Linked DNA regions of Oreochromis niloticus. The protein of the gene in region 1 purifies or fractionates together with the protein of each later gene. This does not show direct contact. Links are inferred from orthologs where the notes say so. Each region holds a gene or a part of one and is shown in the gene's direction. Other genes may lie near its edges.

Region 1 (7,163 bases):
ACAGGCAATATTCAGAGTCGGATGAGGAAAGTATCAGACGGGTAAAGAAACATAAATATCCCTAAATCCCTTCCTCTCCTCGTTCTTAATCATCATCATCATCATCATCACCACTGTAATCAAATAACACTACTTTAATTTCCCTTTTAACATCATCTTTACTTTTGTTTTCCCATCACTTATTTAACCATGAAAGCCCCTCCTCACCTCTCCTCTAATTCCACTCCTCCTACTCTTTGTTTCCTCTCACTAGAGGAAGATGGTAGCTCCTCCAAGAGTCTCTGCAAACTTAAATTTAAACACTCCTGACAACGAATGGGTGATTATTTGCATGGAAGCTCCTGAGCCAGGTGTTTCCCTGTGCAGCGCTTTGCAGTCTTTTTTTTGGCCGTGAAGCATAATCCTTGCCTCCAGCATGATGGCTCTGCTTTTCAAACGGTTCCGATTTGTGTGGATTGAACTCACTGTCGCTATTTTCCTGTTGACGCCTGCTTTATTTATTCAGTGAACGAAAACGATCAGAAAATACAGAATAACTGGAGATAAAAAGTGATACTTGGAACTGAAACACCATCGACCTCCTTTACCTTCGCCTGCTCTGCCATCCCGCTTATTTTCACCTCTGTAACTGTGTGTGTCTGTGTGTGCGCTCCTTTTGCATTAACAGGGGTGTACTCCTCCAGCTCTGAGCTCAAAGCAGACTTTCCTGGACGGGTACACCTCTGAGACTGCAGTGTGACTTTTCAACCATAATATATTTCATGCAATGAATATCAGATGGTAACTTTTTTTCTGTCTTGGATCTTTGGCGCCTGTTTCTGTTCAGTTGACAGAGGAGAAGTGGACCTTCTATCACTCATCCCGCGCTCACGTCCACCGACCTTCCTGTGTGGCCACCGAGGTGGAACGACTCAACAACCTGCTGCAGAAGAAGATCGGCCAGTCGATTCTTGGAAAAGTAAGAGGAGGAAACATTAGTTAATTTAATGTTTCCGTGCCGCTATTTAACTCTGGTCCCATCAACACTAAAAACACTTACATTGTTACCATTTTTGATATATTTCTTTGATTCCAGCAATAAAAGGCAAAGCATTCTGTTCAGTCCAAACTCCTCCTATAGCAAATCAAACACAATGAGGCAGCTCGACATGCTTCACGCGCTTATATTCTGGATCTCCCACCCAGGTCCACCTGGCGATGGTGCGGTACCACGAAGCAGGTCGTTTCTGCGAGAAGGACGAGCAGTGGGACCAGGAGTCGGCCATGTACCACCTGGAGAGAGCCGCCATGTGTGGAGAGCTGGAGGCCATCGTAGCCTTGGGACAGTGCCTTCTGCAGCTACCTCATCATATACTCCCAGACATGGAGCTGGAGGTACTGTGCGCCATCTATTTTCCTTTCTACTGTTCAGCTTAACTTCACAAGTGTGGCTTTATATTCTGATGTGTGTGTGTGTGTGTGTGTGTGTGTGTGTGTGTGTGTGTGTGTGTGTGTGTGCGTGTGTTGTTGGCAGGATAATGCAGGAAACAATATGAGAGGTTTCAAGTATCTGCTGCAGGCTGCTGAGGCTGGCGACAGATCTTCTATGATCATAGTGGCCAGAGCCTTTGATACTGGAGTCAATCTGTCTGCTGACAGGTGAGTGAAGGTTCATTCAAAGCAGATGTTTCAGGTGAGACATAGGAATCCTGCTCCAAGGGGATGACTTTACTCGATAGTACTGCCCTCTTGTGGCCGGTTGGATTTTTACAGTTTCTTTTTTTTTAATTGGTGGTGATTTGTGAGTTAAAGCATTTTATCCTCTTGCCTTCACAGAAAGCAGGACTGGGCCGAAGCGGTTCACTGGTACAACAGTGCGCTGAACATGATGGACTACGACGAGGGAGGAGAGTTCGATGGGACCCAGGACGAGCCTCGCCACCTTCTGCTGGCCAGAGAGGCAGAGATGTACCAGGAGGGAGGCCACAACCTCGCTGCAGACCCACAGAGAGCAGGTTCAACCCGAGTGCAGAATTTTAACTTCAAGAAATCCTGCACCAGTTTCTGTCTGACCGTTGTTTTCCCAGTGAAGCAGTAGGGCTTGTGATTTTGATCTGTGGCACGGAGAAGCTTTAGTCTCACATGATGGTCGTGGGGTTGGTGTTCATTTCTGTTTGGTGGAGCGACTGCCTGTAACATCTCATGCTGTCTCTCTCCTGCAGGTGACCTTTTTACTGAAGCTGCAGAAGCTGCCATGGCGGCCATGAAGGGTCGACTGGCTAACCAGTACTACATGAAAGCCGAAGAAGCCTGGGCACAAATGGAGGAGTAACTCCACGACATAAAAGAAATTAATTTTAACCTCCAAAAAGGCCACGAGACTTGATGTGTGGCTGTTTTTCTTTTTCTTTTTTCTTTTCTTTTTTTAACACATTCTGGGTAAAACCTGAATGACTTCAGTTTACATTACTGTTTTTATGACAGATTTTTTTTGCTGTTGGTGGTTTGTTTGTGTGTGCGTTTGATGTGTGTTGAGCCATTCAGCATCAGACTTATCTTCAGAATTCTTTCTGTATGGTTGTAAAGCTAGATTTCCTGGCTCCTCATTTCTTTCATTTCATGTCTATATTAACCTTTAGTTAAGTTAAGTTAATGTGATTCTACGAATGAAAAGGTCTGACCTATCAAAAAAGATTTACTTATTTTGACCCAGATGTTAACATGTTTATGTTTAAGAGAATATATGTGATAAAGAAAAGTGCTTGGAATATGAAACTGTAAAATAAAAGTTTGCCTTTCTTTTTACCAATCATGATCCTGTTGTGATTTTTTTCTAACTAGTGGAAGGACTCTTGTAACCTAAAATTAGGGTGTATTGTATCATAACAGAAACAATTTACCTTAGTTTTTTGCACCATTAACTAAAATAAGTTAATTTGCAGTCAGTTTGGTTACGGGACAAAAGAAAACAGTGAAATGCTTCAACTCACTAGTCTTGGTTTTCTTTGCACTTTTCTCTGATCCCAGAGCTCAGAGGTATGTCACCACTTTGCCAAGTCCTGGAAGAAGACCCACATTATTATCCTCAGATGAGAGGAAAATTGGTCGGTGTAGTCGGGAACCACCAGATTTAAAGCTTGCCATGAACTCCAAACTGCTGCAGTGCAGGTTTTACATCATGAACTGAGAGGAAGAAAGAAGCCCCCAAAATCAGCTTGATAGAATTTTGCAGTGTCCCACATGGGCAAGCCAAATCCCTTATTGAAAGAAATTTGATGGTCAACTAAGAAAAAGATCGAGCTGCAGTATGTCATTAATTGACCACAATGGCAAGAGGCATGTTTTCAGAATAAACATGAGGTTTTCAAACAGATGACGTACAAACTGTCAAGCATGTTTGAGGTAGCATCATGCTCTGGGGTATACTGCACAAAGTGGATGAAATAATGAATAATTACTTTAGATTCAGTTCAAATTAACAACTAAACTCGGACACAACTGGATGTTCCAGCAGAAAAATGATCCAAAACACACATTAAAACTGACTTTACGCTTTTGGAAAAGCCTTCCCAAAAGCCCCAACCTCAACCCCGATGAAAATTTCTACGTTTTTACACTATTTTTGTTGTATTAACAGCAGATCCACTCACACTAGGAAGCTGAAGAAGCTGATTAGGAAGGCTGACTCTGTGCTGCAGACGTGATTTGAAGTTAAAGTCTGTAACGACTCCTCTCTGTCTATTGAGGACACGTTTATCCTCTTATTTGCTGCTGCAGTCTCAAAAAAAGAACTCAATAGAAGTGCAATAATTGAAACTTTCTATTTTTAATTGCCCAGGAGACTTCAGGGTATATTTTGCATGTCCTTGGATTTTATATTACATTATTTTTGTCTCAACTCCATTTAAAACGGGTACAACCCAAACTTTATAGTCAGGGGGCTTCATATTCGCTATTAGCCTCTGTTTCGATACGTCGTATCACAACGGTAGCGTGGCCGAGCGGTCTAAGGCGCTGGATTAAGGCTCCAGTCTCTTCGGGGGCGTGGGTTCGAATCCCACCGCTGCCAGGATACATTTTTTTCCCGTTCTATTCACGAAACAATCTCATCTGAAAACTTAAATTGTCCACAAATAATACCTAGGGGTAGTTGGTAATGAATAAAAAAGCGTACAAAAATAATGACACAAGCGCATAGCGGACTCGCTGTGCATTATGGGCGCGGGCTCCTCCCCACGTGTCTGTGTGGAGCAGAGTCAACATGGTATCACATCGGCAGTAGACTACAGCTGTCTTGAGTTAAACTCCACTTCAGCAGCAGCTCTCTGCACCACGTTCCTGGGCTAGCTACACCCGGATGAGATAGCTAAAGCTGAACGGTGAAGTGTGCAGGTGAGGGAGGAATCTGCTATTCTTACATAAAGAACATTTAAAATCAGGCCCGCTGATTGAATCTGTGTTATTTTAACTAAGCACGCCATGCTAAGCTAGCTCACGCTAGGCTACATTTGCTAGCTACCGCCTTGGTAGCTAATGTCGTTGCTTGTACTTTTGTTTACAGGAAACAGATCTTCAACTTAGTGCTGTGTATCCTATCTTCTTTATATTGGTGTTGGTTTTTACATAGGAATAAAAAAATCACCCGCTGTGTTGTGTAGGCCTGTGATAAATGCTCACAGGGTTTGCTGCTAATGGAGCTAACTTAACCATAAACACTCTATATAGTCAGCCAGTAAATTGGCGTCATACGGTTTTTTTATTAGCTTGACACAGTGTTTGATAGGGTTATGTTTCTACGAGGAGGAGTCTTTTACTGCTGTGTTGCATCATGTGGATTTTACCTGTGTGTCCGTGAAAGCATCACATGACAGGTTACCATAGGAAGTTGACTACTTTAGCGTCTTATGGTTTACTTGTTGGGTTAATTGAATAGTATCGGCTATTACCAATACTGACACCTCCTGACTGAACTGTGATGTAACTGTAATGTGCCGGATCACTAAGTTCCTGTCATCTAGTGCCTCTGTTGCCAGTCTGGGTGTAGCCACTCCATAACAGTAACAGGAATGTGCAGCCGGACGTTTAGCTCCTGTAACCCAGTTTGTCTTTTATTTTTCCAGGTTCCACCCCCTTCCCCTCTCCCCCAAGATTTGCCCCTCTCACCTTCTTGCTCTGATCACATCAACATGGCCAGCGGTGATGATGATGACCCCATTATAGAGGAGGTATGTTTACAGGCTTAAGTGAAAGGATATTATACGTCTCACTGACCTAATCAAGTATGATACAGCATTTTCTCTGCCCTGTGCACCTTTTATTGCTGTTCTGTGTTTATCAGTGTGAACACAGCCTCACGGGCAGTAAACAATTCCCAGGTGTTTCCCATGCATAGTCTCTGTTAGGTGTATTAACAGGTAATAAAATCACCTGGCAGCAAATATCAGCATTTATACTCATGGTTGTAGTGAGAAGTTTACATACAGTCGTCATCGGCATGACTGTCGTGGCAATTTTTGGCTTTTAATTATTTCTTTGAAGTGATCATTTTCCAGGGTGGAATGATTGTACAGCATACATATTTAATTACTTTAAATATGTACTTTAGTAATTGGTGCTGAAGGTTCTGCAGTGCCTTTTCACTTGACAGGGACAAGGTTCATTAACTTCTCATTAGTGATCATGGCTTGACTACTTCTGGCAGCTGATTTGTCAGCACAAAAAGGATTTGTTTGAGCTAAGTGGAGACAGCTGATTTTAATAATCTATTATTTACTTGGTGGCACGGTGGTTAGCTATGAGGCACTCCTGCCTCTCAGCAACAAGGTCATGGGTTCGAATTTAGTATCTTACTGTGGTTTTTGCATGTTCTCTTAGAGTACTCGACCCTCAGCCCAAAGACATGCCCGGACTCTGTCTACATAAACACACCACAAAGAGATTACAGGCGTTACATTAAATTATGCAGATTAACTGCTAACTAAGTCTGATACGATGTTTAAATCAGGCAACTTGCTAAAGACAACTTTCATACTTTGTCTTGCAGTGATACCTGCAGCATGCAGAGGGGAATCTAAAGAGGGCATGGGGTGTACTGAGCCATATTTATTTAAGGGCTCTCCTAACAAAAATTTTTAGAATCAAGGAAAAAAGATTGCATTAATTAAATTTTATGAATATTTAAAATATAAAAATAAAAGCTTTTTTATAACATACAATGGCCAGGAAAACTCTGAGCCAATGACCTGTGGCTGTTTGGTTGGACACTGAATTATAATTAACACAAATTATTAACATCTACATCACCATAAAGTCAGCACAAACACTTTGGATCAATGCAAACTGAATTACTTAAATATTCAAATGCTGCAGCCCTACTTGTCTGTCTCTCTGTGTTAGCCCTGCGACAGACTGGCGACCTGTCCAGGGTGTACCCAACCTCTCACCCTGCTATGACCCTGAGTTGGGGAACTTTGGAGGAAAGTCTGGTTTGGCTGTTGGCTCCTTACGTCAGCCTGTTTGACTTTGATCTACGTTTGTGTTTTTTCTAGATCGACGTGTACCTCGCCAAAAGCCTTGCAGATAAGCTGTATCTTTTCCAGGTGAGCTTGTCCCTTTGTAGTACCCGTGCGCTGATGAGCACGACCTCACGAGCCCACGTGTGAGCAGTTTCTCTAACTTATCTGCACCGTCTGGGGTGGGATTGATGTGTAATGTTCAAAGAGTCACTAATTGAGTTCACCGCTTTCCCTTGATGCAGTACCCTGTGCGACCAGCCACCATGACCTATGATGATGTCACCCACTTGGCGGCTAAGATCAAACCCAAGCAGCAAAGGGTAACCAAAAACCTGATGTTGATGTATTTTGTGTTTTGTTGAAAATATGTTTCCGTTTCAGGGGAGATGTGTGAATAGGATAAATTTTTAAAGTATTGAATATCACCAATTTCTCAAGTTAATTGGTTACATCAGGTTAAATTATAAGATAAGATTTTTTGTATTGGAAGTTTTCAGAAATGTTGAAAGTCATTAAATCGGGTGTTTGTAGTTGTTGATCATTTATGTACGGCTCCTTATACAGGTGGAGCTGGAAATATCCATGGACACAGTGAGTCCAAACTACTGTCGCAGTAAAGGAGAGCAAATCGCCCTAAATGTGGACGGCACGGGTTATGACGAAACCAAC
Region 2 (7,395 bases), on another chromosome or scaffold:
ATTTGACATCACAGCAGGTAGGTGAAGCGAGTCTGGCATTGACATTTGACATCAGAGCAGAGAGGCAATTCTGCTGTTGATATTTGACATCACAGCAGGTAGGTGATGCAAGTCTGGCATTGATATTTGACATCACAGCAGGTAGGTGATGCAAGTCTGGCATTGATATTTGACATCACATTGCATGCATTGTGGTTGTTGGCAACCACAATGCCAACAACACACAACCATGGCAACAACCCGTAACCATGGCAACAACCCGTAACCATGGCAACCACAACCCGTAACCATGGCAACAACCCGTAACCATGGCAACTACCATGGCAACAAACCGTAACCATGGCAACAACCCGTAACCATGGCAACCACAACCCAGCAAATCTGCTGTTGATATGTGACATCACAGCAGGAAGGTGATGCGAGTCTGGCATTGACATTTGACATCAGAGCAGAGAGGCAATTCTGCTGTTGATATGTGACATCACAGCAGGAAGGTGATGCGAGTCTGGCATTGACATTTGACATCAGAGCAGAGAGGCAATTCTGCTGTTGATATGTGACATCACAGCAGGAAAGTGATGCGAGTCTGGCATTGACATTTGACATCACAGCAGAGAGGCAATTCTGCTGTTGATATGTGACATCACAGCAGGAAGGTGATGCGAGTCTGGCATTGACATTTGACATCACAGCAGAGAGGCGAGTCTGGCATTGATATTTGACATCACAGCAGGTAGGTGATGCAAGTCTGGCATTGATATTTGACATCACAGCAGGTAGGTGATGCAAGTCTGGCATTGATATTTGACATCACAGCAGAGAGGCGAGTCTGGCATTGACATTTGACATCACAGCAGAGAGGCGAGTCCGGCATTGACATTTGACATCAGAGCAGAGAGGCGATTCTGGTGTTGATATTTGACATCACAGCAGGTAGGTGAAGCGAGTCTGGCATTGACATTTGACATCAGAGCAGAGAGGCAATTCTGCTGTTGATATTTGACATCACAGCAGGTAGGTGATGCAAGTCTGGCATTGATATTTGACATCACAGCAGGTAGGTGATGCAAGTCTGGCATTGATATTTGACATCACATTGCATGCATTGTGGTTGTTGGCAACCACAATGCCAACAACACACAACCATGGCAACAACCCGTAACCATGGCAACAACCCGTAACCATGGCAACTACCATGGCAACAACCCGTAACCATGGCAACAACCATGGTAACAACCCGTAACCATGGCAACCACAATGCCAACAACGCACAACCATAGCAACAACCCGTAACCATGGCAACAACCATGGCAACAACCCGTGACCATGGCAACAACCCGTAACCATGGCAACCACAACCCAGCAATTCTGCTGTTGATATGTGACATCACAGCAGGAAGGTGATGCGAGTCTGGCATTGACATTTGACATCACAGCAGAGAGGCAATTCTGCTGTTGATATGTGACATCACAGCAGGAAGGTGATGCGAGTCTGGCATTGACATTTGACATCACAGCAGAGAGGCGATTCTGCTGTTGATATGTGACATCACAGCAGGAAGGTGATGCGAGTCTGGCATTGACATTTGACATCAGAGCAGAGAGGCAATTCTGCTGTTGATATGTGACATCACAGCAGGAAGGTGATGCGAGTCTGGCATTGACATTTGACATCACAGCAGAGAGGCGAGTCTGGCATTGATATTTGACATCACAGCAGAGAGGCGAGTCTGGCATTGATATTTGACATCACAGCAGGTAGGTGATGCAAGTCTGGCATTGATATTTGACATCACATTGCATGCATTGTGGTTGTTGGCAACCACAATGCCAACAACACACAACCATGGCAACAACCCGTAACCATGGCAACCACAACCCGTAACCATGGCAACAACCCGTAACCATGGCAACAGCCCGTAACCATGGCAACTACCATGGCAACAACCCGTAACCATGGCAACAACCATGGCAACAACCCGTAACCATGGCAACAACCAAGGTAACAACCCTTAACCATGGCAATAACCATGGCAACAACCCGTAACCATGGCAACCACAACCCGTAACCATGGCAACCACAACGCTGACAATGCGTAACCATGGCAACAACCCGTAACCATGGCAACAACAATGGCAACAACCCGTAACCATGGCAACAACCCGTAACCATGGCAACCACAATGCCAACAACCCGTAACCATGGCAACAACCCGTAACTATGGCAACAACCATGGCAACCACAACGCGTAACCATGGCAACAGCCATGGCAACAACCCGTAACCATGGCAGCCAGAATTGCCTCTCTGCTGTGATGTCAAATATCAATGCCAGACTCGCCTCTCTATACTGTGATGTCAAATATCAGTGCCAGACTCGCCTCTCTATAATGTGATGTCAAATGGCAATGCCAGATCCGCCTCCCTGCTGCGATGTCAAATATCAACACCAGAATCGCCTCTCTGCTCTGATGTCAAATATCAATGCCAGACTCGCATCGCCTTCCTGCTGTGATGTCAGATATCAACACCAGAATCGCCTCTCTGCTGTGATGTCAAATATCAATGCCAGACTCGCATCACCTTCCTGCTGTGATGTCAAATATCAGTGCCAGAATCGCCTCTCTGCTCTGATGTCAAATATCAATGCCAGACTCGCCTCACCTCCCTGCTGTGATGTCAAATATCAACACCAGAATCGCCTCTCTGCTGTGATGTCAAATATCAATGCCAGACTCGCATCACCTTCCTGCTGTGATGTCAAATATCAATGCCAGACTCGAATCTCCTATTTGCTGTGATGTCAAATATAAATACCAGACTTGCCCATGTTCGAGCGTACACATGGACAATCAGCATATGACAGCAGCTATCAGCCACTTACAGTGCAGTCATGTTAAAACATGTAACACAGGGTCGCTAGTTTAGTGCGACCACATTAATATTATTAATTATTAATATGTAAATATTAGCAAGTTCAGTCTGTTCAGGAAGCAAGTATATACATACATATATATATACGTACATATATACATATCTATATATATCTATATATATATAGATATATATACTTGTCTGTCATACCGACCTATAAACAAAATATGGTACACATGTACATAAATACATTGTTATTAAAATTTTTATATACACTACCAGTTAAAAGTTTGGACACACCTTCTCATTTATTTTCATGACTATTTACATTGTAGATTCTTATTGAAGGCATCAAAACTATGAATGAACACATATGGAATTATGTAGTAAACAACAAAAGTGTGAAATAACTCAAAACATGTTTTATATTTTAGATTCTTTAAAATAGCCACCCTTTGCTTTGATTACTTTGTCTAATGTCCATTCCTTGTGCTTCTTGGTCCAAACAAATCTGCTTGTTGCGTTTCCTTAGTAGTGGTTTCTTAGCAGCTATTTGACTATAAAGTCCTGATTCACACTCCCCTTTGAACAGTTGATGTAGAGATGTGTCAGCTGCTGGAACTCTGTTGTTGTTGTTCTGCTGTTAACTTGTGTTTTCTGAGGCTGATGACTCTTGGGCTTCCTTTCCTGAAACAGTCCTCATGTGAGCCAGTTTCGTCGTAGCGCTTGATGGTTTTTGCGATCGCACTTGGGGACATACTCAGAGGTTTAGCAATTTTCTGGACTGACTGACCTTCAGTTCTGAAAGTAACGATGGACTGTCATTTCTCATTCAGTAGCTGCTGTTCCTCTCTGGAACCACGTTGGAAGACAACAGCCAGATCGGATGATAGGGCCTTGCTTTCTCCCATTTATCCTGGGCAGCAGATTGATGCAAGCACCATGATGCTGATGATGAAGGCTGCTCATTATTCCCTTTAACATCTGTTGTGGCCAGAATATCCTGCAGTTTCTGTACCTCACTTACTGAAATAAATAACCTAAACATCCCTTTAATACTTTTTGCTTGTTTAGCCTGGATAATGATGGTGTTCAGTATTCTAGTCTGACAGTAAAAGTATATTTATAACACAATAGTCAATCACTCACGCAATAGATTTATCCACTAATCATAATAGCATGATTTAAAACATTTAGATGGAAAATGTTTTAAAAACAGAGACTATTATTTTCAACAAAGACCAGAATACAGGAGGGACATGCACTATAAGCTCAACCCAGTTTGAAGGTCCATTTTTCAAAAGTGAGTAATTAAGAGGCTCTGAATGCACTCAACAGACCAGCTTTTCTGACTTGACTTGACCCTTCTGGACTACACAGCCGGGTGTATGAAGTACCAGAACCTCCAAGCAATTGGCAGTTTCTGGCATGTCGTGGCAGGCCGTGGTACGTTACACTAACGAGTCCATGGTTTGCGGTATTTGTTAGCAATTGCAGCGTTACAGCCACTAGGTGGCACCAGAAACCTGCCGTAGTCGTCTAGAATTGCGACAGCTGTTTTACGGCATGCCGCAAAACAAACAAACAAGAAACGTGGATACTACTTTCTGATCATTACTTAATATTTTTTATTGCTTTTAATATTATAAGAACGTATGGTAATTAGTGGGTAGGTGACCAGTGTCCGGTCATCATGTTCGTGCTGGTGGAAATGGTCGACACGGTGCGGATTCCGCCGTGGAATTTTCACCGGCAACTCAACGAGGCTGTGGCGGAGGAACTGAACAAGAAGCTGGCCAACAAGGTGATGGAGACCGTTCTAGCACACTTAGGATCAATTTTCACCACACAAAACACACTAACAGTTCAGCAGCTAAAATACTGAACATATATTGTCCTTTTAGCAGAAGTTTGTGTGTTAAATTGTGTAGTGCTGTGCTTACAATAGGTGGTCTATAACGTGGGACTCTGCATCTGCTTGTACGACATCACAAAACTCGAGGACTCCTATATATTCCCAGGAGACGGAGCCTCACACACCAAAGGTATGACGATCACCATCAAATAGCTGAGACAGCTTTGGTGTAGTTGAGTTAAAGTTAATACTGCTTGTAATACCTCAGACATTAAAGCAAAACCCTTTTTCTACTGTTAATGCACAAACAAGGCAGATGGTGAGTGGTGACTCCTCCTCCTTATGCTGGGCATACACTGTGCAATTTTTGGCCCATTTTGAGCCGATTTTTTAGTTGTGCGACCGTTTTGGGGATCGGCCCGAGTTTCGCCTTAATCGTGTGTCACGCATCGTGTAGTATACATGGGGTAACGAGAAGCGATTAACACCTCACGACCAGCTCCCGATCATCAATTGTTTGGTCGTAAGAAAATCAAACCTGTTTGAAATCCTGTCGGCCGTCATGAGGGTGTCAACGCAGCCTCCCACACTGCACGCACAAACACAAATGAAAGTGAAAAGACAGAGCAGCACGGCAGTGCAGCGTGTGATCTGGACACAAGCGATGGAGGCACAACATGTAGAACTTTGGCAAGCTCATCTGAGCCTTTTCGATGTGGCCTCACAAAATTGTCACGACCACAACAACCGTGAAAATACAGGGAGTGCAGAATTATTAGGCAAGTTGTATTTTTGAGGAATAATTTTATTATTGAACAACAACCATGTTCTCAATGAACCCAAAAAACTCATTAATATCAAAGCTGAATGTTTTTGGAAGTAGTTTTAGCTATTTTAGGGGGATATCTGTGTGTGCAGGTGACTATTACTGTGCATAATTATTAGGCAACTTAACAAAAAACAAATATATACCCATTTCAATTATTTATTTTTACCAGTGAAACCAATATAACATCTCCACATTCACAAATATACATTTCTGACATTCAAAAACAAAACAAAAACAAATCAGCGACCAATATAGCCACCTTTCTTTGCAAGGACACTCAAAAGCCTGCCATCCATGGATTCTCTCAGTGTTTTGATCTGTTCACCATCAACATTGCGTGCAGCAGCAACCACAGCCTCCCAGACACTGTTCAGAGAGGTGTACTGTTTTCCCCCCTGTTACAACCTCCTCTGCTAGGCATCAGGGGAGGAGTAACATACACACGCCCCCAACACAAAACTGAGTAAAGAAAGGTTTTCATTCCAAACTGTAAACAGAAAACTGACAGGGCTGTTCAACAGACCACTGGGCAAACAATTATTATATAAAGACAAAAAAAGACAAGAGTAAAAGCTAAAGGTTAACTAAGGCAAGCTGGCAACACACAAAATAAAAGCTAAGGGTTAACTAAGGTGAGCCAGCATCACAAAATTCTACTCACAGCCAGCTAGCAGCTCAAAGCTCTACTCTGGCTAAGTTCAAGCATGCACCAAGGTTTGACAAAGTTCAGCAATATGAACAAGTTCAACAAAGATTGAAGAGGGAGGCACGAAGGGCAAACTGCATGTTCAGTCCTAAACAGCAGCCACTGAGTGAAGGACCTCCAGCCTTTTGTAGCCACAGGTGGGTACGATCAGTCACTGATTGCCTCTTGGAGCATCACGGGATCCCCGGGCAGCCAATCATCCGTGTGGTCTGGCACACTTCATTCTGCATAAAAGAGGGTTGGCACGGGTCTCCCAGTAACCAATCACCCACAAGTCATGGCACACATGGATTTGCATGAACACAAAAAGGCAGTCTCACTCCCTCCAAGGCCCAGGGCCATAACACCTCCTTGTAAATCTCACATTTGATGATGGACCACAGGTTCTCAATGGGGTTCAGATCAGGTGAACAAGGAGGCCATGTCATTAGTTTTTCTTCTTTTATACCCTTTCTTGCCAGCCACGCTGTGGAGTACTTGGACGCGTGTGATGGAGCATTGTCCTGCATGAAAATCATGTTTTTCTTGAAGGATGCAGACTTCTTCCTGTACCACTGCTTGAAGAAGGTGTCTTCCAGAAACTGGCAGTAGGACTGGGAGTTGAGCTTGACTCCATCCTCAACTCGAAAAGGCCCCACAAGCTCATCTTTGATGATACCAGCCCAAACCAGTACTCCACCTCCACCTTGCTGGCATCTGAGTCAGACTGGAGCTCTCTGCCCTTTACCAATCCAGCCACGGGCCCATCCATCTGGCCCATCAAGACTCACTCTCATTTCATCAGTCCATAAAACCTTAGAAAAATCAGTCTTGAGATATTTCTTGGCCCAGTCTTGACGTTTCAGCTTGTGTGTCTTGTTCAGTGGTGGTCGTCTTTCAGCCTTTCTTACCTTGGCCATGTCTCTGAGTATTGCACACCTTGTGCTTTTGGGCACTCCAGTGATGTTGCAGCTCTGAAATATGGCCAAACTGGTGGCAAGTGGCATCTTGGCAGCTGCACGCTTGACTTTTGTCAGTTCATGGGCAGTTATTTTGCGCCTTGGTTTTTCCACACGCTTCTTGCGACCCTGTTGACTATTTTGAATGAAACGCTTGATTGTTCGATGATCACGCTTCAGAAGCGTTGCAATT
Region 3 (7,993 bases), on another chromosome or scaffold:
TTCTCAGGAAGAAACAAAATTAAACAATGTGACACTTTCTTTTAAACAGTGTGTATGACCCTTTTTAACAGTGTGTGTTGGGACTGGCTTAGTGTGTGTGCACAGACCTGTCCAGGTACTGCAGGAGGTCTGTCTCTGGGCCATCTGGAAGAATAAGAACCTTACGCAGCAGAGGCATGAGCTGAACGCCTTCAAACCAGACGTTACTGTTACCTGGCTGGAGACGGAGCGGTAAAGAGATTCTTTTAGGTCCCCCAAGAAATTTTAAACACTGCCTACACTGTCATTTTTTCCTTTAATGCACATCTTCACCTGCAGGGCAATGTCTATCTGATTCTTGATGTTTTTAATGATGTAGCCTTCAACTCCTGAGTGGTTACTTGTCTTCAACATGTACCTGAAACAAGAACACAGGTCACTAGAGTGGGAAGTGGCAAAGACACATATTTCTGATTAATTTTCAGGGAAGAAAGGTGGAGCTCACTGGAAGAATCTGTACTTGGCTTCAGTGTTGAACTTATCAACGCTCAGCTGGAAAACCTTCAGTCCTTTAGTTCTCTGAAGACAAAAAGAAGTTCCAACATAAAAGTTTCATTCTAGATAACAAAAATGTGATGAAGGTGACACAAATAAAAGTCGATTTCAAATCAAATGATCTGACATTACATTTTAAACACATAAAAATTCATTCAAAAACTTACCAGTTCATGCTTTGGACATATCGTCATGACCTTTATTAAGTTCTGAAATCAAACGCTGACATTAATAACATTATATGATGCACACAAAACACAACGGTAGACCCAACAGGTCTATAATGAAGCAACTGCGTTCACCTGAGGGACTGTGAGGAAGGTTTTAATCTCCAGCAGGTCTGCACGCAGACTGCCGTCCTCCACCCGCACCAGACTTTTCTCATACAGCTCCTGTGTGATGCACATCCATCATACGCTGATGACTGCTTTTAATGTGCAGAGGAAGATTTAAGTAACACAGTGACCATTTTACTGGCAGGTAATGACCCTTACAGCCTCATCCTTTCTCCTCTTTGGCTTCTTACAACTGGCTATTATAGGAAGAAATGTGGGGAACCTCAAGTTTTAGAGTCTAAAACCTCTCCAAACGCTAACCACATTATTTGAAACGTTGGCCATGTTGAATATGAGCATCCAAGATGATGACCGTACATATCAAACCATAAGAAAACAAACTTTTAAAAATGTTAAGTATTATTAAAATATCACCATGGAAAAATATAGGATTAAATCCAGGAGTCATGTACGGCATTTATGACTAAGGCCATTATAATTTATGTAATAAACAACTAAATGATCAGTGAAAACATCACCTACCAGTCCTTTCTGAAGCTTGGACTCCTCAGTTCTATAAAAGATAGATATTACTCATTACAGGTTGATCATTAAAGTGGTGTGTTATAAATGTGTGTATAATGTGCACATTTATATTTTACAGCTTTTGTAAAACACTAACAAAGATTATAACACCACACATTATTATGTCATGTTACCTGGACAGGAGGAGAGAGACGTGCTCGATGTTACATCGAAGACTGAACACAGGACTGCAGAGAGAATACGGAGTGTTGGGAGCATTAAGAATCTATTTAAATGTTTCAATATTTGTTAATTTAGAATGAATGCAACACCCAAGCACAGATCCATTTCAAACCAAGTGTGAATAATCGCACATTGTGCATCCAAGGACAAAAATATGTTTTCAAAATACCTGAAAACAGTGGGGAAGGTGTCTGCAGCCAGGTGATGGACAAACACCAGATGAGCCAAGCTGGCCAAAGACTCTTTAGGATAGCGCACCTCCTCCTCGAGAAAGCCGGGAACCTGCTTTCTCTTCAAAAGAGGCTGGTGCACAAGCCCAGCGATGGACTCCCCAATAGAACCGAGGATGTTCTGCAGGACAGAGAAAGCCACAGTTACCATGATATGCAAGTACGTGACAAACTGATGACATATTAGAAACCAGCAATGAAACCGTTTACGCGTTTGAAAAATGCTTTTACCAAAATCTCGGTGGCAAAAGTCCTGAGGGGGGACAGAGCCAGCGTGTCAGGATCCTTGAGGTGTACTTCCAACAGAGGATGACTCAGACTCTTCATACAGCTCAAGAGGAGACAAACAAAAGGGAAGCCTCAACATCATCAGTTTTCAAGAGCCCTGCAGTGCTTTTCTATGACATGATGTCGGACTATCAAACGTGAGTCTGAGCTGGAAAACGCATTTTTTTTCACTCACAACTTCAGAAGTTCTGTCCGCAGCTCATCCTCTTTATCCTTCCCCTGTCTGCCCACAGTCCTGTTTGTGGTCTCGCTCTGCATTTCATTATTCAGCAGGTTATGCCTGACTTCTTGAACAAAAGGTCTGACGAAATCTATCATGTCAGTGCAGCAACGGCAAAATGAAAAGACGTCATCCTCCTCTTGCTCCTTGGTGTGAGGGAGAGGCAATTTGGCCACCTGGTCCAGCACGGAGGACAGCGCCATGCCCAAGGATGACGCCTTACGGCCGCCCAGGCACAGCAGCACTGTTAGAGGCAGGAATCAGAGAATACATCACAATAATAACAGCAAGAAAAAGTATCCAAACAGCAATATGCAATATATATGTAAGACAAGAAGAAAACCAATAAAAAGAGTGGCATTAAAGATGACTAAAAAGATTCTTTACCTTTCTGTAAAGGCTTCAAGAGCAGATGGAGACTCTCCACTATCGTATCAGGATCATCCTGCTCCAGCTGCTCCAACAGGCCGATCAGCAGCTCTTTGGGTCTGCATGTCTGCAAAACCCCCCACAAAGATCACCCTTAAAATGCCACATTCATCCAGTTTTCATTGGTGATGTTTTATCTTAAGTCCACTCCTGACCACTGACCTCCAGCAGGTGGTTAAAAATGGCCAGACACTGAGGAAGATTCTTGTCTTCTTTCTTCAGCAGGACCTGGATCAGCGGAGGCAGCAGGTTCCAACCCATGCATCTCACGATCTCCTGCACAGATGAAAACAGTTACACAGATGAGTGTGTGACAAACCTGAGAAGCAGTGATTGGTGTCAACTTTGAGAAACGTTACCTGATTCTTTTCATCCAGCACAATACTGAGGACCTGCGCGCTGTTTCCCTCCTCGATACATGTCCGCCCAGCAACCGTGAAGATGTTGTGATCCTCAGTGGTGTAGCTGTCGTCTGGAAGAGCCTGCTGTATGCAAAAGAAACAAACACGTGGGTAGAAATAGAGAAAACAACATTTTAAACAGTTTCTTATTAAATATTATATTTCATCAAATATCTCAAAGACAAAATCTTATTACCCTCTGGTTTGGGTTCAGGACACAGTCACCCCCTCTACTTTTAAGATTAGGCTTTTTGATAAAGTTTACAGTTAGCGCTGGATCAGGTGACCCTGAACAATCCCTTAGTTTTGCTCCTTCCTCAGGATGCTGGGGGACATCCCATGATCCACTGAAAATTTCTCCTCTATTCCCGTCTTCACTAACTAAGCATTTATACACTGCTGCTGTATGGCAGCAGTGTATAAATGTTGTAAACTTGCGTGCATCCCACAGAGAGACACACAGAACAACCAAAAGGAAATGGAAATGAAGAAAAGGAAAATGAAGAAAAGAAAAATGAAGAGACAAAAAAATGACCACAAAACAGCAACAAACAGAAGCACAATGAGCAAATTGTTTATAAAACAATAGAAAACATCTAGAATCTAGGTCACCAACAGGTGGACCACCCCTACGCCATTCTTTACGGACTCAGACCTACTAGATTTTCACGAACCCTTTCTTTTTACTATGTGCCACCTTTTCCTTTGTCTTTATGGTCATATATACACAGCAAAGCCATTGAATCGAAATACATAGACCAATGGCGTGCTTAACTCACTCAACGTAACTCTACTCAGGCAATCCTTTACTCAGAGCACGTGTAAAAGTAGAAAACTCAGAGACGAGAAGCAGAAGCCCAAGGAATTAAGTCAGGGAAACAGACAGGGAGAAAAGGAGGGTTTAAAGTGAGATGGTTTACATGTGAAATGTAATTTAGAAAAAAGCCAAAGAGGGGAAATTCAAAATACAACTTTTCATTATTTTAAATTATTTGAAGACAACTTTTTCAAAAGCTATTATTTGATTGCAAACCTTATTTTACTTGAAACCAAAAAAGAACATTTACATCAGAGAAATGAATAAAAAATATTGTTAAAATACTGATGAATTACACTCTCTTTGCTTTACTTTACAAGCAGTTATTGCCCATATACTTACACTGTATAACTGTTAGGCTACTTCAAAACAGACTGCACTTATTATAATTATAATCATGTGGAACTTGATTATATTTTGGGCTTGGAAATGTTCTCAAACTGGACCTCCTTAAATTTTAATTGAATACCCCTGATCTAGAATATGCTCTGGTGAGGGACTCATTCTATCACTGTGAGTGGGTACCAGCATGCAGGTTGGTGCCAGTGACTGTGCCGACATGCTGTTTAGGGAATGGATATCAGAGTGAAGGAGGGGATGTGGGTTACAAGTCCCACTGAATACTTACACATCTTTGGACCACCTCACTGAGCTGCTCCAGAGCCATCCCTGCTGTCTTCATACGGGTGTTGTCCTCATGCAGAAGTCCTCAAAAACAAAGGGGAAACTTCAAGTATATAAAAAACAGGTCCAAAGGTGTCAGAGGTTAAGCTCTGAGCCTGTGTGACTGTAAACACAGCAGAGCAGCAGGGATGCTAACCCTGCTCTGAATTAGCCGAACAGTGGCTAGCCAAACAAATTCACCACCACTAAAAGAGCCGCTGATGTGGACACAAACGGGACCGAGGTGAAGGGGACACCTACCTCAGCTTAATTTCCACAAACAGCCCGGTGAAAAAAAAAAAGCACACGCACACACATACACACACACTGCACGCTATGGACTCACCTCGCGAACGCAAAATTGTCCCCCCTGGCTTGCCGTAGAGGGAGACACGTCACAGGTCAAAGTTGAAAGCGTAGACAACAGAAACAGCATGGAGACGGAGGAGAGAAGAAGGAGCGGGAGCTCCAAAAAACCTGCCAAAAAGGGTTCGTTAAAAGCCTGTTTTTTTTTTTATTTCTCGGGTTTTAGAGAGGTGTTTACGGCGCTGCGGAGGGTTACACGGGTCTCAGAGCGCTCACAGCTGGTTTGCGTAGCGGTTCGTTGGTTTGTTTGGTAGAGTAACAAGATCTCTGCCCTCAGAGATTCAGTTAACTCGTATATTCAACATGTTTTGTTGTTTGTGGGGCAGGTGGGAAACGTGTCAAAGCACTCACCGCGGAGGAAGAAGCGAGAAGGTGAGAAACCCCTACTCCACCAGGACATCTCTACTGGACGCTTCAGCTGCACCAGTAATCATTACCAAACATTTGTTGGTTGTGGAGTAAACACAAACACTTCTTCACATGTGTGCTTTATGTCAGGAGAGAGGAGCTGAAGGAGAAGCTGAGGGAGAAGTTGGAGCTGGAGAGGAGAGCTTTGAAGGTGGTGGAGCGGCTCCTGGACGACAGTGTGGCTGAGGACTTCCTAGTGGACTGTGTATGTGTCACCGGTGACTTTAGACATGGCACAAGCTTTAGGCAAACCAGGAGACAAAGTCTTCCCTTACTTCTCTCACACCCAGGTCCTGTTACCCTTACATCACTGCCAAGCCTCTGCCATACTAAACCTGTCTCTTTTATTCACACAACATGTCTGCCACAATTAATTAGACTCTCACAGTCTTAGAACATGGCCCAATCTGCAGTTTCCAGGGTTTATAATCACCATGAGATCCCATGATTGAGGTTTTTCCATTGGGCCAGCATTACACAGCCTGGCTGTAGTATGTTATTTAGACCTGTTATGAATTTGAATACACCACTTCACTGGTAGCAGTGCCATTGCCTCACAGCAAGAAGGACCTGAGGAGTATGCTATGAAGGAAGTTCACCACAGCCAGGCTTTGTTTGCGTTAGCTGTTGACAAAGCTTAAAACCCCAGTCAGAGATAATGGACATCATTATGATGGTTATCACCTTTCTTTGTTTAACTAGGCTTGTTGTTAAGGTATGTCATGTTCTACTCTTTTTCCACACAGAATGATCCCTGTGAATGCTGCCTAATCAGATGTTATAAGGTGATAATGATAAAATGCTGTCAAAAGTCTATAAAGAAGAGGAAAAATATTACAATAAAATGCAAAACTGTTACAGACAACACGAGATATTAATGCTGTGGAAAAATGTCAATCTTGGGATTTAGTGCATAGAGGGATAAAATAAACAATCTAATGCATTCAGCATTAGTTACCATGAGGTTTTAGCCAGGTGAAAAGAGAGATGGACTGGCAACCAATCGAGGACTCCGCCTCTCACCCTATGGCAGCTGAGATACGCTGTGTGAACACACACTTTTTTTTCCATTTCTGATCACAGACTTTAGATTACAAGCAGGTTTTCAGTCAGTAATCAGTTAATTTAAAATGTCACACAATATTAATTTTACACAAATTTAAACCACAGAAAAGCTGCAAAGTAACTGAGTTCTCTTTACTTCACAGGCCAAAATGATCACCCCAGCTAATTACAGAGATACTGTAGAGGAGAGGTCTATTGCTAAGCTGTGCGGTTATCCCATCTGTCCTAATAAACTGGGCAAGGTAAGGCCACTGATACTGCATTTCGCTGCAAATAATAAACATCTTCATGTCTCATATGTGATGACTGAGTCTGCGCTGCTGTTCACTTTCTAGATCCCAACTCAACAATACAAAATTTCTACGAAGACCAATAAAGTGTATGACATCACAGAGCGCAAGGTGAGTGTTTCTACATGAAATTGCTTTTTGGTTTTTTTTACACTTACCAGAGTGTGCTTAAAGACACATTTTGGTCTTTGCTTCTTTTGTCTTTAGTGTTTTTGCAGTAATTTCTGCTACAAAGCCTCCAAAGCATTTGAGCTACAAATACCAAAGACGCCTCTTTGGGTTCGGCAACATGAGAGGTGTGTGTGCTGCTTCTCACCTCTGTCCTAAATCACCTGATTGATCTAATTGTTGAATGCAGTGATGTTCTGTATAATGTCTTTGCTCCCTTTCTCTCTCCCAGTCCTCCTGAAATTAAGTTGTTGAAGCAAGGAGAACGGTACGTAATAAGTTTCAGTGTTTAGTTTTCCATGTTTAGCCTTATTAATAGAAAGACTGATCCAGGGTTACATGTGTGCATTCAGTGGGAGCTCTGGTGAGGAGGTGATGCTGTCCGAGAGGTATCTAAAAGAAGAGGACATCGAGAACCCTGTGGCTGCTCAGGACGAGGATCTTCACAGCTCTCGTGATCATCCTGCTGGAGGCAGCCACAGTGATGTCAGTGACGGCGAACATGAGCAGGACTTTGTCTCCAGCGTGGTCTCCCAGCAGCAGAAACCCCGGGTACACTGGGGTGACCTGCCCAAACTCTCAGATAAGGATGATAAAGGGAAACAAAGGAAGTCTGAAACAAGAAAGATAAACACCAAAGAGGGGAATGAAGAAAAGATCGAACCTCCTCAGAGTCAGAATACAGAGGAACAGAGAAGTATGATAGAAGACGAGGAAAGAAAAGAGGCAGACGTGCGTAAAACTGAAGTTACTGATGCTGAAAAACCCAAAGAGCTGCAGACGACACATACGGACCAGGCGGCTCCACGAGAGAGAGAGTTGTCTGAGCTTTCTAGTGTGGAAGAGACTACAGCTAAGATGAGCGTGTGCAGTTTATCGGAGACGGTAACTCACAGCGTTCCTCGCTCGAACCCTCCAGCAGAAAGCAAAGAAATTCCCGCCACTAATCAAAACAGTCACGGCCAGCAAGAACTCAACATCACGCAGGTGGGTATGAGCAAAAGGGGGGCGGCGGGGCTGCGAGATCTACTGAAGAACCACGCCGAAGCCAAACCTGACTCTGTACGGATG
Region 4 (7,251 bases), on another chromosome or scaffold:
TTGCTTTCATTTTGTATCAGTTATTTGAACAGGGAAGGACACCAAGTTGCTCTTAGTTTCCTTCCCTGTTCAAATAACATAATAATAGTAGTAATCCATGTATGTGGTGGTGAGGTCATCTTCTTACCTGTAGTAGCTGTGTGGCCGTCGCTCTCTGCTCCGGGTTCTTCACTAAACACTTCTTGACAAAGTCTGTAAACTCGTCTGACCAGAGCTCCGGCTTCCTGAATGTTGGAGGAGGGTTGGTCGGGATCATAAAGATTGCCTGCAGGAACACGATAACAGGATTAGGGTGGATTAAAAAAAGAGGAAAAATGTTTTTCACAACACATTTAAAACAAGAAGAAATGTTTCTACTCACTCTCATTGGATGGATGTCTGCATAAGGAGGTTTACCCTCTGCCATCTCTATGGATGTGATGCCCAAGGACCAGATGTCAGCTACACAGTTGTAGCCGATCTCCTGAATTACCTCGGGTGCCATCCAGAACGGAGTACCGATCACAGTGTTTCTCTTCGCCATGGTGTCCTACAGAGTGGGAATATATATTACCCCAGACTTTTAGAGCATGACAGGACCAAGCGAGAACTCCTCAGAAGCAAATTACAAACAGTATCATGCTGGCAGACATTACTTCATCTTATCACTACTGACATATGCCGCAATTTTACCGTCAGCTGTCCAGCAACCCCAAAGTCTGCCAGTTTGGCGTGTCCCTCTGTGTTCAGAAGGATGTTTCCTGCTTTGATGTCCCGATGGATCTTCCTCATGAAGTGAAGATACTCGAGTCCCTTCAGCGTCGACTTAAGGATGGTTGCGATCTCATCTTCTGTCAGCTGAGAGATTGAAGAGTAAAAAACAAACATGAAAAAACAGAGCATTAACTGCTGCACTTGTCTGTAGTTTTTTTTTTATAATCATTAGTTTGCTGAGTTCAGTTAAAGACAAGTTCAACCTGGAGATCTTTTCACTTTTAAGTCGCAATAAATACTGCACTTTGAATTGAAACTTTATCAAAAATATTTTTCTTCCTGACACAAAAACTAGTGAATTAAAGCCGCCATTGCAGTCATTACTGACAACAGGTCAAAGGCACTTTTAAATTAAGTTTTAGCACAGTTACACACGTCGCTGCGGCTCAGCGTAGACACCCACCGTCTTGTTGCGCAGTCTGATGATGTCAGAGACAGAGCCAGCGCCGCAGTACTCCATCACAATCCACAGGTCTGTGTTCTTGAAGTAGCTGCCATAGTATTTCACCACATAGGGGCTGGGGAGGAAATGCAACATGGAGTGGTTATCAAAGGAGAAGATACAGAGCAGAAGTGAGAAAAAAAATCTCATGGATCCAGACACGAGAGAGCTACATAGGCTATGATGATGATGTCATACTTCCTCCATTATTATCTCTGTAAAATGTCTTTTGAGGGTTTTCCTGGCTCAGAATGGACCTTTGAGAGGAAGCTAAGTGCAACTGGTCTGCGTACAGTTAACACTAAGAGGCTCTTATCTAATTAAACAGAACAACTGTGCACTTCCCTGTTATTTGGGGCAGCTGATAAACAAAAAATGTATTCTGAGCCTGCAAATAAACAATGATTTTCTCTCAAAACTGTTTACTGGACGCCACATTTTTCATATTGAGGAAAAACTCTGCTTTTAAGGGGAAAACTGGCGGTATGGTTAAAGACATACTGCTGTCCCACCTGTCACACTGCTGCATGATGGAGATCTCCTTGATGATTTCCTGCAGATCGGACTCCACAGGCACCTGCTTGATGGCCACCACCTGGCCGGACTCCTTATGAATGGCTTTAAACACGCTGCCATAGGAACTAGAAACACACACAAAGCTTAAAGTCACATGTACGGCCGCAGTGCTTTATTACAACTGACAGCACTTAAAAAGAGATTCATTACGCAATGGTCAGCTGTAAAAATGGAAGTTAAGACTTCTTACCCTTCACCGAGTTTCTCGAGAACATCAAACACTTCCTCTGGCTGTTTCGTCAAACTATCTTCACTCAGCTTTTTCAGCTTACTGTAAAAAGTGAATAAGACAGGAATATAAAAGTGAAAGCAATGATAAGTGGAAAAGGCAAATCTAAACATTACAAAACAGGAGACACGGCATTGTTTCAGCATTTGTAAATAAATGAACGGCTGTGGGTGATTTTTAGTCTGGACATAAATGTCAAACACACTGGGACTGCAACTTGTTATAATTTCCGTTTGTTGTAATTTAAAGATATTTTTAGGTTTGTGCATCGGTGCTTTCAAACACCACAATATGAGGTAATACTTCTTCACAGATAAAAATCAGCACCGCAGCCAAACAACAGGAATAAGTCATTATTTTACTCAGAGCAGGAATGTCATTTTAGCCAGTTAAGTTCAATGTGATCGACAAAAAATGTTATTGTGAAAGTGAAAGCACAACCCAACATGCACTGTTCACTATTTTCTGACTTGATCAAAAATATTATCACGTGCAATACAAGACTAAAGGAGGTCGTTTCTCCCTGAGCAACACTTAGTGACGCAAGCTTCAATAAGGTTCCTCAGTCTGGCTCTAGTGAATAAATCAAACACAATGAATCAAAAGATTCAATCATTTAAAAATGATCCTACATGAGCTCTGACAAAGACACAAACAGATTGTGTGTTTTTTTCCCCATTATAAGGGTATTTCAATACTACCTCTTAGAAAAGCTTGTGCTATATGAAGCTGGAAAGGCCCTCACATCCTGCTGTTCCTGTTAATTTCCACTAAGCAGAACAGAAACGTTTAAGTATTGTGTCCTCAAAGTCTTTCAGAGAAGCCTTTCACTGACTGTGAGAAGAGCTGAAAATATTGCTGTTTTTCCTTGAATCCAAAATAAAAAACTTATTCAGTCTGAATTTCACATAGTGTTTTATAATTATATGTTTTTGGTAATTTACTTCAATATCTATTATTATATTTATGATGATGATGATGATTATTATTATCATCATCACTTATTTTGTTCAAATATTTATTTTTGGAGACTCATTCTTTAATTTCATTGTATATTTATTAATGTTATAGTAAACTTTTAAGCAATTTTTACTCTATATTTATTTTGTCTTTATATTACGCAATTTTATTTTTGTCAATGATTTCCAAAGCAGTTCTAATTTCTTTTGATTTTGTTATTATTCATTTTTTAAAATATTTTACTATTCTAAAAATCTTTCCTACCAAATTCTGTCAACCTAAATGTTTAATAATATTACTTTATTATTATTATTATTTCATCATCCTTTATAGTGTTGTAATAAAAGGGGTGCTCATATATGGAATAAATAAATATTTCTCATCTCAAGATGAACATGTGTGATCTCATAGTTTAAAAATAGTACAGCAATCATACAAAGACTTCAGATCTGTCGCCTTGTGGTTAAAAAGCTCTTCGGTAAAATTAACTTGCGTTGTCTTTTTTTTGAGCCTGTGAACTCGTGAACCACCACAGCACAGAAACCAACTAAGTAATCAGTAACGTGTAATACTGGTTTGTCTTCAGGAGTTGTGCCAAAAAATACCGTGTCCGGTATTTAAACAGTTCTAAATGAATGCCTATGACCTATCAAACATACCTCTCTCTTATGAATGATTTCAAGTCACTTTGAGCAAGCAGTAGAAGCTGCATTTAGTTTTTGGCAAAGTGACTTTTATATATCTTTTATTTATTTGGATAAAAAGTGTTATTGACATTCAAAACGTCTTTTTTCCAATAGAGATTGCGCAAACAGGCAAGCCAAAACATGGAGGACCTTTAACTTTTACAAGGACATTTTAAGTGGCTAAGAAAGTCAATAACAATAACGCAGACCCATAAAGAGAGATCACGTCTTTATTATATATATATACACATATATATAAAAACCCCTTCATAAATCCTAATAACTAAAGCCTGTTTACAAATACTTTCAACAATATTAGACATAAAAAGATACACAGAAACAATGCAATTCATTTTTTGGAGGACACTCGGGAAACTAGAGGCTGATTCAGTTAACATGCGACTGAATGATATTTAAAGTGCAAATCAAACCACTGAACAAAACACTCTTACAGAAACTTGGGAACACAAAACGACCACATCATTAGCCAAATCTATTAGAAACTCAATTGAGGGCTCAAGAAAGAGCGTCTCTGTGTGAGGAACGATCTGTACATCCGTGAACAGAACTGAAAGTTTGAGAGAAGACTGTCAACGCTAAGTTAGCTTAGCATCAGCGAGCTCGGCGACATCCACCGCCTACGTTAGCTGTTCGGCTAGCTCGATAATAATAGCATTTTTAGCGCAGTTAAAATAACACAAACCTTTTGGGCGCAGACGTCTCCATGATGTACGACTTCAAAACTAAAAAGAAAACAGACTAATAGGGACTCGTGGCACTTTTGGGACCAGCAGTCAGGGCGAGAACATTGTCGACTGAGTCGTTGTTGTCAAAAACTAAAGCAGCGCCAGCTGAGGGCTCGTCGGATGACGGTGTTACGGCCTCACCGCAGCGCCCCCTGCTGGAGCGGAGTACAAACAAAACGGCTAAAAAATACTCTCCTTAGAAACAGCGAATAATTTGTATCTATTAAACAACTGAGACTTGTGAATAAAATGTTACTGATAATAGAGCTGTCCACAAAATACAACTATGCTTTCCTGGTCTCATTCAAAGACATCGTCCGACCAATCACAAGCGACTTTGCTGTGAGGTGAACGACTGTTCTACGCATGTGCAGGCAGGAGCCTTGTGGAGTATGAAAAGAGAGGTAAACAGCTAGCAGCTATCGTGTTTAAACGGTGAGAAACCTTGTTGTTGTCTTTCCATCCTGTGTACTTCATATCTGTTAGGTTTATGCAGCGTTTTTAGATACTTTAAAGATATTTGTTGTTTGCTCTAAATACCATATGGGTTGTTTTAGTCTGTTTCGGGCAATACCATGCTGTTTCTGTTAGCATGTTGTTAACAGTTATATCTCTGTCTCTATTTTTTTGTTAAGAATCAGAAATGGATACGCAGAAAGATCTACAGCCGCCCAAGCAGCAGCCTATGATCTACATATGTGGAGGTATATTACAACTTTTACTTTAATAATACACCCGCGGGTAATGCAAACAGTACGATCTTACCTGCTCTAATGCAAACCTTTCATCACTGCCATCACGGCTGCTTCTCCTCTGGATGTTTTTTTTTTTTACATTACACCGCAGAGACCTTAAATATTGTTCATATTGTGTTCCGTCGTAGTAACAATTCTCTCATAATAAGTTAACAAATAATAAACTACAGCTAAATTTAGATTCTAAAACTAGCCTGTCCGACATTAATAAATTAAGGATTAATCCGTAATTAATGCTTCAGAGATAACTGAGAGTGTATTTTTTCAGGTATTACAGCACTAGTTTTTAGAGAAAACCATCTATCACACTATATCATGTCCTGTTTTGCCTAACACATGAAAATGTACATTATAGAAAATTCGCATAACTACCGTCTATAATTATAAATATGAGTTCAGTATTAGTACTAAATAACACTTGGAGCACAAGGTCTGCCTATTGTAAACCGGTCTGTGCATTCAAAGCTGTGATACCTGGCATGTGTGGGATTTCCATTCACTGAAATTACATCTCAGGTGCCTTTATAGCCTCATGACCCCTACCCCTTTTCTAATCTCTGTTTTAATCATAGTTAGCTTGGAATAAGATAATTTTATTGTTCTGTATGTATGTATGATTTTTTTTTTTTTTTTTTTTTTACCTTGTGGGTATTTGTGCTTCCAGGTGCAAAACACAAGTACTAACTGAGAGTTACATGATGTTCTTGTGTTTGAATAGTGTTTTTACTACTTAATCCACCTTGGTGGAGACCTCTGGATGACATAACATACACATTAGGCTCACTAAATGTTTACAGTGGGAAATGTTAAACCTCCTTCACAGTCTGATACATTGTTACTATTTTGGAACCAATAACACATATTTCACCATGATTACGTAATGTTGGTCATCTTGCATCTGGAAAAGGAACCACCCTGATTTTAGTACTAACAAGTTTTGTGGCAAGTGTAAAAACTCAGTAACAATCTGAATGAACTGAAATGAATACACCTTACACATTATGGACTAAAATATTGGGCCACACCTCTTTGAATTCAGAGGCGTGCGCTAAGTGAAAAAAAGTTACCAACACTCTGCTGACTCAGTAGCTGCAGAGGTCCAAACCTTCTCTGTCATTAACATCAGCAGAAAAACTATGTGCTGCCCGCTGCTCTGCTCTGCTCAAACTGCACTTGAACACATAACACCATGATTTCTCTCATCACTTGCAGAATGTCACACCGAGAACGAAATCAAAGCCCGCGATCCGATCAGATGCAGAGAGTGTGGCTACAGGATCATGTACAAGAAGAGAACAAAGAGATGTATCCTTTTGACATTGTGTGCATGAAGACAACTTGTGAAAACATTAAAAATGACCAACTGACAGTTAATTTCAGACATGAATCTTTATGCTAAAGAGTGTTCAGATATTTTGTTTTTGATTGATATTTTTTGGTTGCTACGTTTGCTGTGGATTTCCTTGACTCTCTGATTTCAGTGGTTGTATTCGATGCCCGATGAAGAAGAGGAGAGGAGCAGTTTTGACTCTGTTTACTGTTTGTAGTGTGGGATCATGTAAATAAATAGACCTGGCTTCAGATTTGTGAACTACTCATTTTATTCTCCGTCTAAACAATACATTTGCTTGTCAAAGATGTATGAAAGTTTGTTTTGGTTTATTAAAAAATAAGTATTTTAATTGGTCGTGACTGTTTTTCCAGTTTTTCTAACTGATGAGCCGATTTAATTGGTAGCATCTCCATGACGACAGGAAAATATGTGTTTCAGCTCTTGTAGACTTTTCTATATTCATGTAGTCACGTGTAATTGGTCTGTTGCTATGAGATGTTTGCAGCTTTTCGACCCCTGAAATGAAGTCTGCCTTTCAGAATAATAAAATGCAGCAGGGGGAAGTAACCTGATTTTGTGTAATGCAAACTGGTTTGGGGCCTTTTTCATAGTAATAAAGATTAAATGACACTTCGATGTTTTCTTCCCCTCACCCCCAAAGGTGATTTTAATGACTTTGACTGTGGGATAATTGTTGGTACCAGACTGGCTGATCTACGAGGATTTTCCCACAGCCATCTCCCAAAAAGAGAAAATATCCAGTGAGCGGCA

The links.
Region 2: the proteins of polr3e (region 1) and polr3h purify together in Homo sapiens (affinity purification with mass spectrometry; 9 studies listed by BioGRID and IntAct, counting the BioPlex papers as one, with this or other methods). This does not show direct contact. The link is inferred for Oreochromis niloticus from reciprocal best matches to the Homo sapiens genes POLR3E and POLR3H.
Region 3: the proteins of polr3e (region 1) and rpap2 purify together in Homo sapiens (affinity purification with mass spectrometry; 3 studies listed by BioGRID, with this or other methods). This does not show direct contact. The link is inferred for Oreochromis niloticus from reciprocal best matches to the Homo sapiens genes POLR3E and RPAP2.
Region 4: the proteins of polr3e (region 1) and polr2k purify together in Homo sapiens (affinity purification with mass spectrometry; 3 studies listed by BioGRID and IntAct, with this or other methods). This does not show direct contact. The link is inferred for Oreochromis niloticus from reciprocal best matches to the Homo sapiens genes POLR3E and POLR2K.

The regions. Positions count from the first base shown.
Region 1 is NC_031973.2:9,907,120-9,914,282, forward strand, and holds the start of polr3e (DNA-directed RNA polymerase III subunit RPC5), read left to right. Parts: upstream 1-4,142; 5' UTR 4,143-4,371; intron 4,372-5,099; 5' UTR 5,100-5,165; coding exon 5,166-5,204; intron 5,205-6,527; coding exon 6,528-6,578; intron 6,579-6,736; coding exon 6,737-6,814; intron 6,815-7,058; coding exon 7,059-7,163. Other genes in the region: eef2k (eukaryotic elongation factor 2 kinase), read left to right, coding at 1-41, 254-319, 827-958, 1,186-1,374, 1,514-1,638, 1,816-1,994, 2,202-2,311. UniProt on the Homo sapiens protein: DNA-dependent RNA polymerase catalyzes the transcription of DNA into RNA using the four ribonucleoside triphosphates as substrates.
Region 2 is NC_031969.2:9,483,518-9,490,912, forward strand, and holds the start of polr3h (DNA-directed RNA polymerase III subunit RPC8), read left to right. Parts: upstream 1-4,379; 5' UTR 4,380-4,567; coding exon 4,568-4,678; intron 4,679-4,822; coding exon 4,823-4,919; intron 4,920-7,395.
Region 3 is NC_031982.2:10,756,793-10,764,785, forward strand, and holds the start of rpap2 (putative RNA polymerase II subunit B1 CTD phosphatase rpap2), read left to right. Parts: upstream 1-4,985; 5' UTR 4,986-5,059; coding exon 5,060-5,114; exon of another isoform or gene 5,115-5,224; intron 5,225-5,317; coding exon 5,318-5,363; intron 5,364-5,489; coding exon 5,490-5,604; intron 5,605-6,607; coding exon 6,608-6,706; intron 6,707-6,799; coding exon 6,800-6,865; intron 6,866-6,961; coding exon 6,962-7,050; intron 7,051-7,154; coding exon 7,155-7,190; intron 7,191-7,275; coding exon 7,276-7,993. Other genes in the region: glmna (glomulin, FKBP associated protein a), read right to left, coding at 108-217, 313-397, 485-558, 702-743, 837-926, 1,353-1,383, 1,529-1,582, 1,747-1,928 and 6 more.
Region 4 is NC_031985.2:19,959,502-19,966,752, reverse strand, and holds polr2k (DNA-directed RNA polymerases I, II, and III subunit RPABC4), read left to right. Parts: upstream 1-4,714; 5' UTR 4,715-4,827; intron 4,828-5,027; 5' UTR 5,028-5,035; coding exon 5,036-5,096; intron 5,097-6,359; coding exon 6,360-6,452; intron 6,453-6,628; coding exon 6,629-6,651; 3' UTR 6,652-6,730; downstream 6,731-7,251. Other genes in the region: stk3 (serine/threonine-protein kinase 3), read right to left, coding at 128-265, 362-529, 673-837, 1,157-1,271, 1,708-1,836, 1,962-2,042, 4,350-4,372. UniProt on the Homo sapiens protein: DNA-dependent RNA polymerase catalyzes the transcription of DNA into RNA using the four ribonucleoside triphosphates as substrates.